Linked DNA regions of Arabidopsis thaliana. The gene in region 1 interacts genetically with each later gene. Each region holds a gene or a part of one and is shown on either strand. Other genes may lie near its edges. The genes, in order: CDKC2 and AT5G45190.

Region 1 (6,208 bases):
AACAGCTAGTTTGCTTTGTCTACCACTTGATACTGTAAGTGGAATCACAACAAAAACTTCATTGAGCTTCTTTTACCATTCTCTGGAGGTTCTTTAGCATTACTTTGGTTTTGAATTGCAGATAAGAACGGTTATGGTGGCACCCGGTGGAGAAGCATTAGGTGGTGTAGTTGGTGCATTCCGTCACATGATTCAAACTGAAGGTTTCTTTTCCCTATACAAAGGTCTTGTACCTTCACTTGTTAGTATGGCTCCATCGGGAGCTGTGTTCTACGGTGTCTATGATATTTTAAAATCAGCTTACCTTCATACACCGGAAGGTAAGAAACGGCTTGAACACATGAAGCAAGAAGGTGAAGAACTTAATGCTTTCGATCAACTCGAGCTTGGTCCCATGAGAACTTTGTTATATGGAGCAATCGCAGGGGCTTGCTCAGAAGCAGCAACATATCCGTTTGAAGTTGTGAGAAGGCGTTTACAAATGCAGTCACATGCTAAAAGGTTAAGCGCAGTGGCTACTTGTGTGAAGATCATTGAACAAGGAGGTGTTCCTGCTCTATATGCTGGCTTGATTCCCAGCTTATTGCAGGTTTGATTCCTTAATACTAGTCATAAATTAATCTCTTGAACCAGCTTATTGCAGGTTTTACAGCTTTGTGAATTATCTCACTATTGCAGGTTTTGCCTTCCGCGGCAATCAGTTACTTTGTTTACGAGTTCATGAAAGTTGTTCTGAAAGTAGAATCATCCGCATAAGACAATAAGCAATGAGAAATGACACAATTACTGCTGGAGCTGCTTCAGAGGAGAGTTTTTTCGTTTTCTTTTTGGGGTTTACACTGATTCGTGTAGTTTTTCCACACTTCATCGAAAACAGATAAGAGGTTGTGAAACGTTTTTTTGCAAGAAATAATAAGATTTGGGTAAAAATCCAATTTGGTTTCCTGTGTTCTGATATATAAACCTTGATTTAAACATACAACAATCACAGAATGTTTGGAAGAATGCCATTAAGACAAGAAATCAAATGAAAATAGATTCTCTTTCGCGAAGATAAGTCTTCATATCTAAAATCACAACTGCCTTAAAGACATCAAGCCAAGACCACACCATACGAGTCTCTTTGAGTTCTCTTTACGGTTGCCATCCATATTGTTGGTTTCTAGCACCACCCATAGGGTTCTGACCTCTTCCAGAGCCACCAGATCCACCATACTGACCACCACCTTGTGAGTAGTTGGGTGGTCCAACACCATAGCCACCGCTAGGTCCTCTAGGACCGGCGCCATATGGTGCACCACGACCTTGTGGAGGATATGCTCCGCTGCTGTAACCTCCACGGCTCTGATTATTATAACCACCAGTCTGGTTTCCGCTAGGAGGGTACCGGTTTGGAACAGGTGCACCACCACGGGGCTTTCCTCCATAGTAATGGCCACCAGCAGGTATTTGGGGTGGTGGTGCGTTGTTGTTCATAGGGTGGTTTGGTCCAGCAGGCCAAAGTGGAGCGGCATGAGACTGGCCAACACCGTGTTGCTGTGGAGGTAAACGAGAATGTTGCTGCTGTGGATGCTGCAGTTTCTGTTTTTTGGCTGCTTCCTCATTATGACGCATCTGTTGCCGTTTTTTCTTTGTCTGGAACTCATGTGATGATTCATATGTCGGTAGACTGTTGACATAACACAGTTTCAGTACAAGCTGAATCACTCACTAATTGTTCTTGATCGTCATTTGTGATGTATGATGAACCAAATGGGTTTTCATAACAAGAAAGTTAAGAGAATTTGATTACCTCTTTGGATCACATGGCAGCGGATCAGTCCAAAAGTACTCAGCATCAAGAGCATCCTTTGCGCATATTCTCTGTACCAACAGACAGGAAAATGAAAGGACTTAAATGTCTAGACCAAGGCTCTTAATTCTCTGTATTAAAAATTCTTTGGTACCTGAGATGGGTCAAGTACCAACATTTTCTCAAGTAGTTCAAGGGCATGGCGATCAAAGCTATAGCAGAAGAGAAAAGGACCAAATGAGATCTCCTGGATCAAAGTAACTGTTGCATAAAAGAGTCGCAACTACATAATGGTTTATACTTACTGTCTGTAGATCTCCCTTACGCGTCTCTTTAAGGGCCGAGATGATTTCATTTGGTTATACCAAGGCATCTTGGAAACTCCAGGCCAGTTGCTTTCATCAGGTGATCCACAAAGCTCATAAATCTTATTCAATTGTTCATTCTGGAAAGAAAAAAATATGACTAAAACGCTAAGTGGAAACATCATCAAAGAACACTGTAATAACACACACCACGATAATCATAAGATGAAATCCTGACCTCAGTTTTCCCAGGCAAGATTGGTTTTCCATTCAAAAGTTCAGCAAATATGCATCCAACTGACCACATGTCAATCGCTGGTCCATATTTAGTTGCACCAAGTAACAATTCAGGGGGCCTACAGCAATAAACAATGCATAAGTAGAGAAAAAGCTGCACGTATAAGCAATACTTATTCTTTGTCACTTTTTTGTATATAACTTCAAAGTTTGTAGGCATACATACCTATACCACAAAGTGATGACACGATTTGTGAGGTTTCCAGTATGATCATGAGAATATGACCGAGCAAGCCCAAAATCCGCTAGCTTTAAATTTCCCTCATTGTCAATAAGTAGATTCGAACCTGCACCAATATATTATAGGTTAACTAGCAAATAAAGACAAGAGAACAAAATGGTCAACAATGTATTTTGGGATATATTCACCTTTTATATCACGGTGAAGCACTTGATTCACATGACAATAGTGAAGCCCAGTCAGCAGTTGCTTCATGTAACACTTTTTTACATATGTTCAAATGTCAGACAAAGTCGGAACAATAAGGGTTTTTGCAAAGGCTACTACAACAAGGTGTCTAGCCATGCAATACCTTTATCTGAGGAACCGTAAATCTCAGTCCAGGACGATCAGCAAGTCCAGTCAAGTCATGATCCATGTACTCAAAGACCATGTAGATTCCACCCTTGTATTTGTTATTATCTAAAATTGAAGAAAAGCAACAAGCTTTAGGCCGTAAGCAGTTTAAATAGATCTCTCATAGTCGCATCTAAGTTGTACAGAAAATATTTCGATCTTGAATAAGTTTCACTAACCTGGCTTTCCTTGATCATCCCTATCTCGACCTTTTAAAGACAAAAACAGTCACAAAACTCTACATATCAAACTTAACACCCCTTTTGACAAAATTTCTAAAGCAATTACAAGCTAAGATAAGAGTTCCTTATTACCTGGAGAAGTAACAATCTCTTTCAAATGGATGACATTTTCATGATGCAGCTTCTTCAGAATTTTGATCTCCCGGATAGCGGTTATCGGAAACTCCATGCAAACAATGAAAACGGAAATATAAGTCATACGAAACTCACAAAAATTTGCAACTTGTCAAAGCTAGTACTGGTAGTTCAAATGTAGCTTACCCCTTCTCTTTCATTGTCCATACGGATCTTTTTCAGAGCCACGATTTCACCAGTTTTAATTTCTTTAGCCATGTACACTTGGCTGCAAAACCAAATTTTAATATATGAATCTAAACACCATCAAAAGAGACAGCTTCAGAAGTTTATTGCAACATATATATATATATATATATATATATATATATATATATATCTACCATACCAAGAATCTGAGAATTCCCAAATTCAATCAACAAAATCGAATTTATTGAGATAAGAGGCAAAGTTAAAATTCCTCAAATCAACAATATATGGATCAATAACTATATATAAACGTTTCACAATCAAAATTGTTTCAAAAAAACTTATATATCAAGTGGCCCTAGCGAAATCGTTCAAATTTGAGAAATTTCAGTCTTGAGCACGAGTACTCTGACAAAACCAAATAAATTGGAATCAAGGAACAAAACCCAGAAAAAAAAAGAATGGAGAAGAATACCCGTAAGTTCCTTCACCAATCTGTTCAAGCTTCTCGAAGCAATCGACACTACGAGATCCCCAAATCGGTGGAGGCTCCTCTAGATTTAACTGCCCAAAAGCCGCAGCCGCCATTATTCAACCGAATCTGAAAATTACCGAAGAATTCTGCAGCTTCGCCCTTGTCGCTCCTCTTCTCGCCTTCTTCTCTCCGGCTATTCTAAGGTTTTAGCCCTACCTTACAGTGTCGGCTTCGCGGAAAAACCTAAGCTTTTTTATCCGGAATCAATCTCTGGTTTAAACCGGTTATTACAACGAACCAAAATCAAACCGGTTAAATTCATGAGTCAAATTTTTAAGACGCTTTGACAATCTTGAGTTTTTGCTCAAGTGCTGAAATAGAAAAAGAATCGCTTCATATGAATCCCATTATTATATGAGAAGCTTCAAGCTCGTAATAAAGGGTGATTTAAGAGTTACTTCCAAATTATAATGTTCAACACAGTTACGGATGAGCGAAGTTTGGATACAATGACAAAATTTCAAGTTTGGACTTGTGAAATCTACAATTAGATCTTGATACGATCAAGTAGCGTTTCATCGACTAAACACACGCACTTGTAAGCAACCAGCAGTTCCTCAGCAATCTCATCTCCAAATCTCACAACATATTTCTCTAGAAAAGCTTCCTCAGTCATCTCAACAATGCCAACCATGTTCTTCTTCTTCTTCTCCTCTTTTAACAACAACCCTTTTTCCCTCAAGATCTGCAAAACTTTAAGCCTAGGAATCACCCTCTTCTCAAGATTATACGACAACACACAAGGACGTTTCGCCAAAGCTTCCCTCTCTAACCCCATTCTCTTCAAGTAAAACTCAAACCCCAGTGTAAGCTTATCTTCTGAGCACCGGATCAAACCTGGAGATCTTCGTATAATATCTGTTATCTCATCTTCAGAGAATCCATTAGCCATAAACAACTTAACCTTTCGATCAAACGTTTTCTCGCTCAAAGAACTTAACGAGATAACAGCGTGCACAAGCATCCTCGAGTTCAAAGTAAAACCAAGATCCAAAGCACGAGAGACATATCCTCTGAGTTTTTCCTCAGAGAGATTGAAGATTCTTGGCTGTCTTCTAAGTAAAGAAGCAAGCTGAGACCCAACAATTCCACAGGTTTCAAGGTATGAGATGTTTGGTAAGAGAAACAAGTTAGGGTCTCTACTGAGAAGAAGCCAACCACATCTACTAAGAATGACAGGAAGGTCTTCATGTTTTGGGGCAACAATCGATTTCAGAATCTCAACGGTAGGAATCAATTTCTTCACTAGACTTACACCAACGACTGATGAGTTTTGAGAGACGAACTTACCAAGACCAGAGCCAGTAAATCCAATATCTTTAAAGAATCGAAGTTTGGGTTCTAGAATTTTCTCCACGTTGTAGAACATCATTCGAGGATGGACCCGGATCGATTTCTGGATCTGGGTATCGGAAAAACTGTAACTTTTAAGCATTTGAATCACTGACCGAGGTTGTTCTAGGGATTTGAGGTTAGGGTAACGCATTGCGATGGCAATTGCTAGAGGTTTCTGGAACCCATTGTCCCTGAGAAACTCGACGAACGCTGGATTTGATATCGAAGCTGGTGTCGCATTCGAAGAGAAATGATGCAACGAGAGAGCTCGATCCCATCTCCGACCAAACTTTCTGGAATTGGAAACGAGAGAAGCTAGAAATTGCATCTTGGAAACGAAAGTTTAGGGTTTTACCAAAGCTTATTATTTTGTACAGTTAAGAATCATTCATGACTTTTCAACTATGGTTTCTATTTGATAAGATTAATTTATTTGAGATACAGTATTCAAAATATTACTAAAACAGAGATGAGTCTAGTGAGTAGCTGAGTACAATGAGTATATTTATACGAAAAAGTTCCTAATTTCTAAATCTCTCTATACACAAGCAATACATGTGGCTCATGACCACTCTGTTGATGAACAACCAGAGTCTCCTCTCCAAAAATTATTATCGAACTTTAAGAAGACAGAGATGAGAGAGTGGTGGTGGTTTGACTAGTTGACCATCTCTTGCCTCTCAAGCTTCCATAAGATAATTTTATTTGCAGACCAGTGAAATTGTTAACACTCCTGTGAAATGCACAAAAGGGTTTATGGAGATTGAAGAAGCTTTAATACATTTCTTCTGTACAAATTAAGCCAAAAAATGAGTGTGAGAATTTGAGTCTGATAATGTAACTTGTAAACATCAAGAGGTG
Region 2 (6,524 bases), 7.7 Mb from region 1:
ATCACATGTCTCAATGTATCGTAGGGTTTCTGTGTTTTTTTTTTTTTTTTTTCTTTTTCCTGTTGGGAAGGGTTTCTTGTTTTTTTTGCTAAGCTTATTATTTTTCTTTCTAATTTAATTTAGGATCCTTTAATTTATAAAGATAAAAAAAAATTAAATTGTTTGTTATGGAGTGTTTATCTAAATTAGTTTATAATGGTATAGATAAATATGAAAAAATAAAGATACTTATAAATTTAAAGAAGAAAAAAAAGAAAAACTTTAATATAATATTAGATATCCACATATTATTCAGATTTTACTAGGTTTTTTCGAGTTTACCCACTAAACCCGAAACCTATCGGATTTTTTGTGGGCATATTAAATTCGGGTTCGAGTCGGATTAGTTATATTTTGTCAAAAATGTATAATTGTTTGCAAAATGTAACCAAATTTAATTAATTGAAACCATTTTTATTAAAATTGAACAACTTGTAGGTTTTTTCCGACCATTCCAAATCTTACACCTACCCGAACCGAATAATCATAAAACCCCAATGGATAATAGTCTCTTCTTCTACCAGAAATATCCAAATCCAAAAAAAATCAAATCTGATCAAAGTTTCTAAAGCATAAGCCTAGACACAACTTCAATGAATTTCATAAATTTTAAGAAATTATATTTACATTGATATAATCTAATTCTTTTTTTTAAAGCATAAGCCTAGACACAACTTCAATGAATTTCATAAATTTTAAGAAATTATATTTACATTGATATAATCTAATTCTTTTTTTTAAACTACTAAAATATACATATTTATTAGTTTGAAAAATGAAAAATTGAAAAATGAGTGTGGGGCACGTGCCTCACCTCTCCTCTACCTACATCTGCCCCATGTTATAACTCTAATCTCAATATTCTCTCTAAATATTTTTAAATAACGTAATTTTTTTTGTTGTTTACTAAATAACTACTACAGTATACTATGTGATTTAAACTATAAATATTGCTAACTTGTCATAAATGTTTTACACAAACATATATATACTTAATTCTCATTCATCTTCGATACTATTGAATATTTTATTATAATCTTTATCTATACATCTCACCATTTTATATGTTTAGTTGACATCCAAATTTTGGAGTTATTTTAACAAAACAAAAGAAAAAAACAAAACTTTTGACAAAATACACAAAAAAAACATATTTGAAGAAATTTTTATATTTTTTCAAAAGCTTTAGTAGATAATTAAAATTTAATTTGTGATATATGTATATATTGTGATTTACGTATATCGCGGTCATTTTGAGTTAACAACTTTAAAAAATTTACTTTAAATAATAAAAATTATAAAGTCGCATTTTTATAACCTAGGCCTATATAAAATATAATAAGCTTTTAATATTTATTTTATCTCTTGATTTCTAATTCCTAATAACTGTTTCCTATTTTCTTTTTCTTTTTCTTTTTTTTTCCGTCGATTTTCTTTTTGTTCTTATCACATTTCAAAAAACAAATGTTAAAGATATCAATAAAGACGATTAGTGATTAGCTTATGAATTTATTTATATTCTTTTAATGTGAAAAAAGGGAAAGAAGTGAATCTGGTCTCAGCTTTTAATATCACAACTCTTTAGAATACTTCCTATCCCCTTTTTCTTCTTCTTCCCTCTTTCGTTTTCTCGCGACTCTCTAGGGTTAGGGTTTGTTGATTTTCACGCGTTATTCTTCATCTTCTTCTGCAATTCGCAACTAGAGAAGCTAATTCCATTGAAGTTAAGGTAAAGTATCCATCTTTTTGTTTCCCTCCCTCGTTCAATTACTGTCTTAAATTCTCGTTGATTTCCTTTATCCTCTCGATTTGGGTATTCTTTTTTGTCCACCGTCAAGTGAATCTCTCAACGAATTTTTCCATCTTCCGGTTAATTTCTATAGAAACCCTTTGGATCTGTTTTTTTCCTGCTCAATTACTAATTTTCTAGGTATCGTTTCGTGTTTTGAGAAAATTTTGGGATTTTGATCGAATGTATCTAATTGGTGATGAATTTTTAGCCTAATCAAGTTGTTACCACAAGTTCGATTCCATGATTTGCAATTCGTAAAGGTTCATCCTTTGCATGATTCATGTTCATAGCTTGTAGAAGATTTATCCCCTTTGACTCTCGTTTTAGACTATGTGGTTATGTTTCCTTGAAGCCATGTCACTAGTCTCTTCCCCGTTGTGCCCTTCCGTGTAGCTAATTTCTTATTCAAAGCCAAAGTTCGAATGCGGGTATAAAAAACATAGCTATCTACTTTTTCTGATGATCTCTTATCCTATCTAGTGTCGAGTATCAGACTTATTACCATTGTAAAGAGATGCCCCATTTTGGTCCGCTGCTTTTGCTAGGTTGCACAGATTGTTATAAAGTGAAGCAAATTTTGGTTCTTTGCTGTCATTTTGCTACTCTGCTTTACGACACTAATCATGAATCAGTATCTCCCCCTTTGTGCCCTTCTGTGTACTGTTAGAAACCTCAGTTGATTCCTGTTCTTAGAGTTTTCTAAATGCTTATAAGATTATCTGTTATTCAAAGATACGGTTTTAATGCAATTACAAAGATCATAGCTTCGTTTGTTGGGGAATCGATCTGGTTTTTCTTATGTTCTCTTTAATTGTCCTTTCTAGTGTTGAGTTTCAGGCTTATTATTATTTGTAAAGTGATGCACATTTTGGTTCTCTGCTTTTGTTAGGTGGGGATAATTTTTGGTTTTAGAAGATACTAATGGCTGGAGTACTAGCTGGGGAATGTTCTTACAGTGAGAGTGGAGTTTCATCACACTCAAGGAATTCCCATGAAAAGCAAGAAGAGGTTTCCCGCTGGTATTTTGGAAGAAAAGAAATAGAAGAGAATTCACCGTCAAGGTTGGATGGTATTGACTTAAAGAAGGAAACATACCTCCGCAAATCCTACTGTACATTTTTGCAGGACTTGGGCATGAGATTGAAAGTGTAAGTTCTCTATCACCTCATCTTAGATTTCTTTCTGTGCATTGTTCCTTTAACTGCTTCAAGTTGGCTTGGTTTCTTGACATTATAGTTCGTCCAATCCGTCCCATCATCATTGTGGACAGATAATAGTTACCCCTTTACATATAGGTTTCGTTTAATTGGAATTTGATGTGCTGCTGATGGTTTTAGGCATACGTTTGTACTGATGTTAGTTCTAGCACCTTTAAACGGAAAGTTGTAGAAGTTGTGTTTATTTTATCTCAATTTTTCTTTCTTTGGCATGAATACAAGGAAGAGACAGTTATTAGTGGTGAAGACATAACTGCCACACTGTCTTAATTTTGCTTTTGTAGTCATGGTTTCTGCATTGTTCAGAGATTTCAATTTTTGGCTCTCTTGGAAAGTCGCTGATATAGTTTTCCAATCAGTCCCCAGGTTACAATAGCTACAGCGATAATCTTCTGTCATCGATTCTTCTTTCGCCAATCACATGCAAAGAATGACAGAAGGGTGAGTTTATTGTTTTGCACCTGAACAAGTTGAATGCTTAAAAAAAAATGACTCTATTCTGTGTTGTTTGAACCACTATGCTGTAGTCTGGCTAGTATTTAAGGTATTGAAATGTATTGGTTTTATATATAGTGGATCCATCTCCTTGCCATTTTTCATGGTATTTATAGAGAGCTCATTATTGTAGTTTCATTTATAGTTTCGCTACCACTTTGATTTAGATTTTTCTTTTTTACTTATTCTATGCAGAATTAGTGAATTGTGATTGTTGTTATTTCTTCTAGAGCGGAAAAAAATACTCGGATCTTTACTGAGCTCTCTCTTCATGTTGTTTCTGCAGACCATTGCAACTGTATGCATGTTCCTTGCTGGAAAGGTTGAGGAAACTCCACGGCCCTTGAAAGATGTTATTTTTGTCTCCTATGAGATTATAAACAAGAAGGATCCTGGTGCTTCCCAGAAAATCAAGCAAAAGGTATTCCATCTTACTACTGAATCTTCCTAATTTCTCACCTCTGTTTTACTAGTTATAGATGAACGTATCATTTTTTCCCCATATCTTTTGTTTTATTTGACATTGAGGTTTTAGTATTAGCTACAGACTTTGCTTCGTTGTTTTGTAGAACCATGGTCCTTTGGTCCTGATTTATTGTCTGTTGGTCAGCATATCAAAATGTATTTGACCTATATCACTTTTTCAGGAAGTATATGAGCAACAAAAAGAGCTTATATTAAACGGAGAAAAAATTGTTCTTTCCACTCTAGGCTTTGACCTCAATGTTTATCATCCTTATAAACCCCTGGTAGAAGCAATAAAGAAATTTAAGGTTGCACAGAATGCACTTGCCCAAGTTGCATGGAATTTTGTTAATGATGGGTACGTTCAAGAACTATTTCCTTCTAAAGCTTCCAATAATTCTATGTGCCTTGTATTTTCGTCTTCATACAATGAAAAGTGGCTTGCAGTCTACGGACATCTCTCTGCCTGCAATTTAAGCCTCATCATATTGCGGCTGGTGCAATATTTCTTGCGGCCAAGTTCCTTAAAGTGAAGTTACCATCAGATGGAGAGAAGGTTTGGTGGCAAGAATTTGATGTCACACCCAGACAACTGGAGGGTATGTACAATATGAATTGACTTGACAATTCTTGTTTCCTTGTTTGACTTCCATTCCCTTTTTCTTTATGATTTCAAGAGTAATCGTCTTTTGTATATCTCAGATGTTAGCAACCAAATGCTTGAGCTTTATGAGCAAAATCGTGTCCCTGCATCTCAAGGAAGTGAAGTCGAGAGTAGTGTAGGTGGAGGGTCAGCTCAGCGACCAGGCTCCAGAAATGCGGTTTCAACCGATGAGCATGTTGGTTCTAGGCAAACGTCATCAGTACGTTCAACCCATGAACAATCAAATTCTGATAATCATGGGGGTTCATCCAAAGGAGTATTGAATCAGAACAATGAGAATGGGGGTGGTGAGGCAGCTAATGTCAGTGTCGATAACAAAGAGGAGATAGAGAGAGAAACAAAAGAAAGCAGCCTACATCTTGAAAGCCATCCAGCCCATAAGGACAATGTGAGAGAAGCCCCCCATAACTCTAGACCTTTAGTTGAGGGACCTGGGAAAGACAACTCAGAAAGAGAGGGTGGAGAGCTACAAGATGATGGTGCTGTTCATAAATCTCGAAATGTTGATGTGGGTGATGCCCTAATCAGCCAATCGCCAAAAGATTTGAAATTGCTTCGAGATAAGGTGAAGGCTAAACGAGAGAAAGCTAAGAAGTTGCTAGGTGAAAGAACGAGGAAAAAGGATTTGATGGATGAGGATGATTTGATTGAAAGAGAACTGGAAGATGTGCAACTAGCTGTTGAGGATGAAAAGACGAAGGAAAGGAAAGTACAGAGCAGGCCAAAGGCGGAGAACTCTGATCTCATGGGTACAGAACATGGTGAGATTTTAGATGTTAAAGGAGAAGTCAAAAATACAGAGGAAGGTGAAATGGTAAACAACAATGTGTCCCCGATGATGCATAGCAGAAAGAGAAAAATGGGAAGCCCTCCTGAAAAGCAGTCAGAAGGAAAGAGACGCCACAATAGTGAGAATGGGGAAGAAAGCCATAAGACGAGCAGAGGTAGTAGCCATCATGGTGATAGAGAGCACAGAAGACACTCACAAGAGAATAACCATTCATAAGAGAGGTAATGATTATTAAAACTGCTACTCTTTGTATTCCATCTAAATGGTCTTTTTAAAAGACCTTTGGCACTTCGATGCCCAACCATGTGAACTTGACTTCTACATGGGTCGGTTCAGTCGTTGGAACCATGCTCTCTGTATTTTATGTTGATTATATATCTATTCGTGGCATTTTTGCACAATCCAACGACTTGAACTAGGACTCATCATCCTAAAAGGATGTTGAGAAGCTAATTAGGTGTTTCTTCCTGTAACCACTCCATGCTAGGGTTCTTTAATTATGCATAATTACCTGCTTTTTTCCATCTAATCTAAACCGGGCTAAGGTTTGATTCTGCTTGGCAACTTCATAGTCACATTTACTTCGTTTCCTTATATTGATGCGCATTGTGAAAAAGTTTCCTCTAGTACGGTAAAATTAGTGTCAGGTCATAGGAAGTAATGTATAGGTTGTGGTTAAGTCCACTTGATAACTTCTTTGTTACTGTACATTGTTGAATTGAGTTTACTTTTGATGCCAAAATATTGTTACGACCAATGTTTTCTTAAGTTATATATGATGTAAAAGAGAGAAACCTTTGTATTGTACGGTATCAAAATGAACTATATGTACTTTTAAGTCTGTCAGATTTTGTTTTCTTCGAAAAGTGATATTTTGTATGACCTATCGGAGAAGTGCCATCTGATTCGGAAGCATAAATACAAAGAAAGCATGTAGAAAGAAAGAACGAAAATAACTAAATATGTAACTCTTCTGTTATCTAGAAAAGAAAGGAAGAGATCTATAGAGTAGAACATTCTGTTCCTAGACTAAATATAAAATATAAAAAAATCAACTTCCAC

What was found.
Region 2: of CDKC2 (region 1) and AT5G45190, changing one enhances a phenotype caused by changing the other (phenotypic enhancement), as found in Arabidopsis thaliana (one study listed by BioGRID).

The regions. Positions count from the first base shown.
Region 1 is NC_003076.8:25,953,354-25,959,561, reverse strand, and holds CDKC2 (cyclin dependent kinase group C2), read right to left. Parts: upstream 4,189-6,208; 5' UTR 4,066-4,188; coding exon 3,953-4,065; intron 3,557-3,952; coding exon 3,475-3,556; exon of another isoform or gene 3,413-3,474; coding exon of another isoform or gene 3,377-3,412; coding exon 3,286-3,376; intron 3,181-3,285; coding exon 3,151-3,180; intron 3,038-3,150; coding exon 2,928-3,037; intron 2,837-2,927; coding exon 2,764-2,836; intron 2,682-2,763; coding exon 2,561-2,681; intron 2,454-2,560; coding exon 2,336-2,453; intron 2,238-2,335; coding exon 2,098-2,237; intron 2,005-2,097; coding exon 1,947-2,004; intron 1,864-1,946; coding exon 1,793-1,863; intron 1,670-1,792; coding exon 1,135-1,669; 3' UTR 757-1,134; coding exon of another isoform or gene 679-756; 3' UTR 671-678; intron 596-670; downstream 1-595. Other genes in the region: AT5G64970 (Mitochondrial substrate carrier family protein), read left to right, coding at 1-34, 122-589, 679-756; AT5G64950 (Mitochondrial transcription termination factor family protein), read right to left, coding at 4,500-5,675.
Region 2 is NC_003076.8:18,276,962-18,283,485, reverse strand, and holds AT5G45190 (Cyclin family protein), read left to right. Parts: upstream 1-1,611; 5' UTR 1,612-1,768; intron 1,769-2,720; 5' UTR 2,721-2,752; coding exon 2,753-2,977; coding exon of another isoform or gene 2,978-2,979; intron 2,980-3,042; coding exon 3,043-3,066; intron 3,067-3,168; coding exon 3,169-3,186; intron 3,187-3,407; coding exon of another isoform or gene 3,408-3,414; coding exon 3,415-3,489; intron 3,490-3,829; coding exon 3,830-3,964; intron 3,965-4,190; coding exon 4,191-4,366; intron 4,367-4,455; coding exon 4,456-4,607; intron 4,608-4,710; coding exon 4,711-5,678; 3' UTR 5,679-5,866; downstream 5,867-6,524.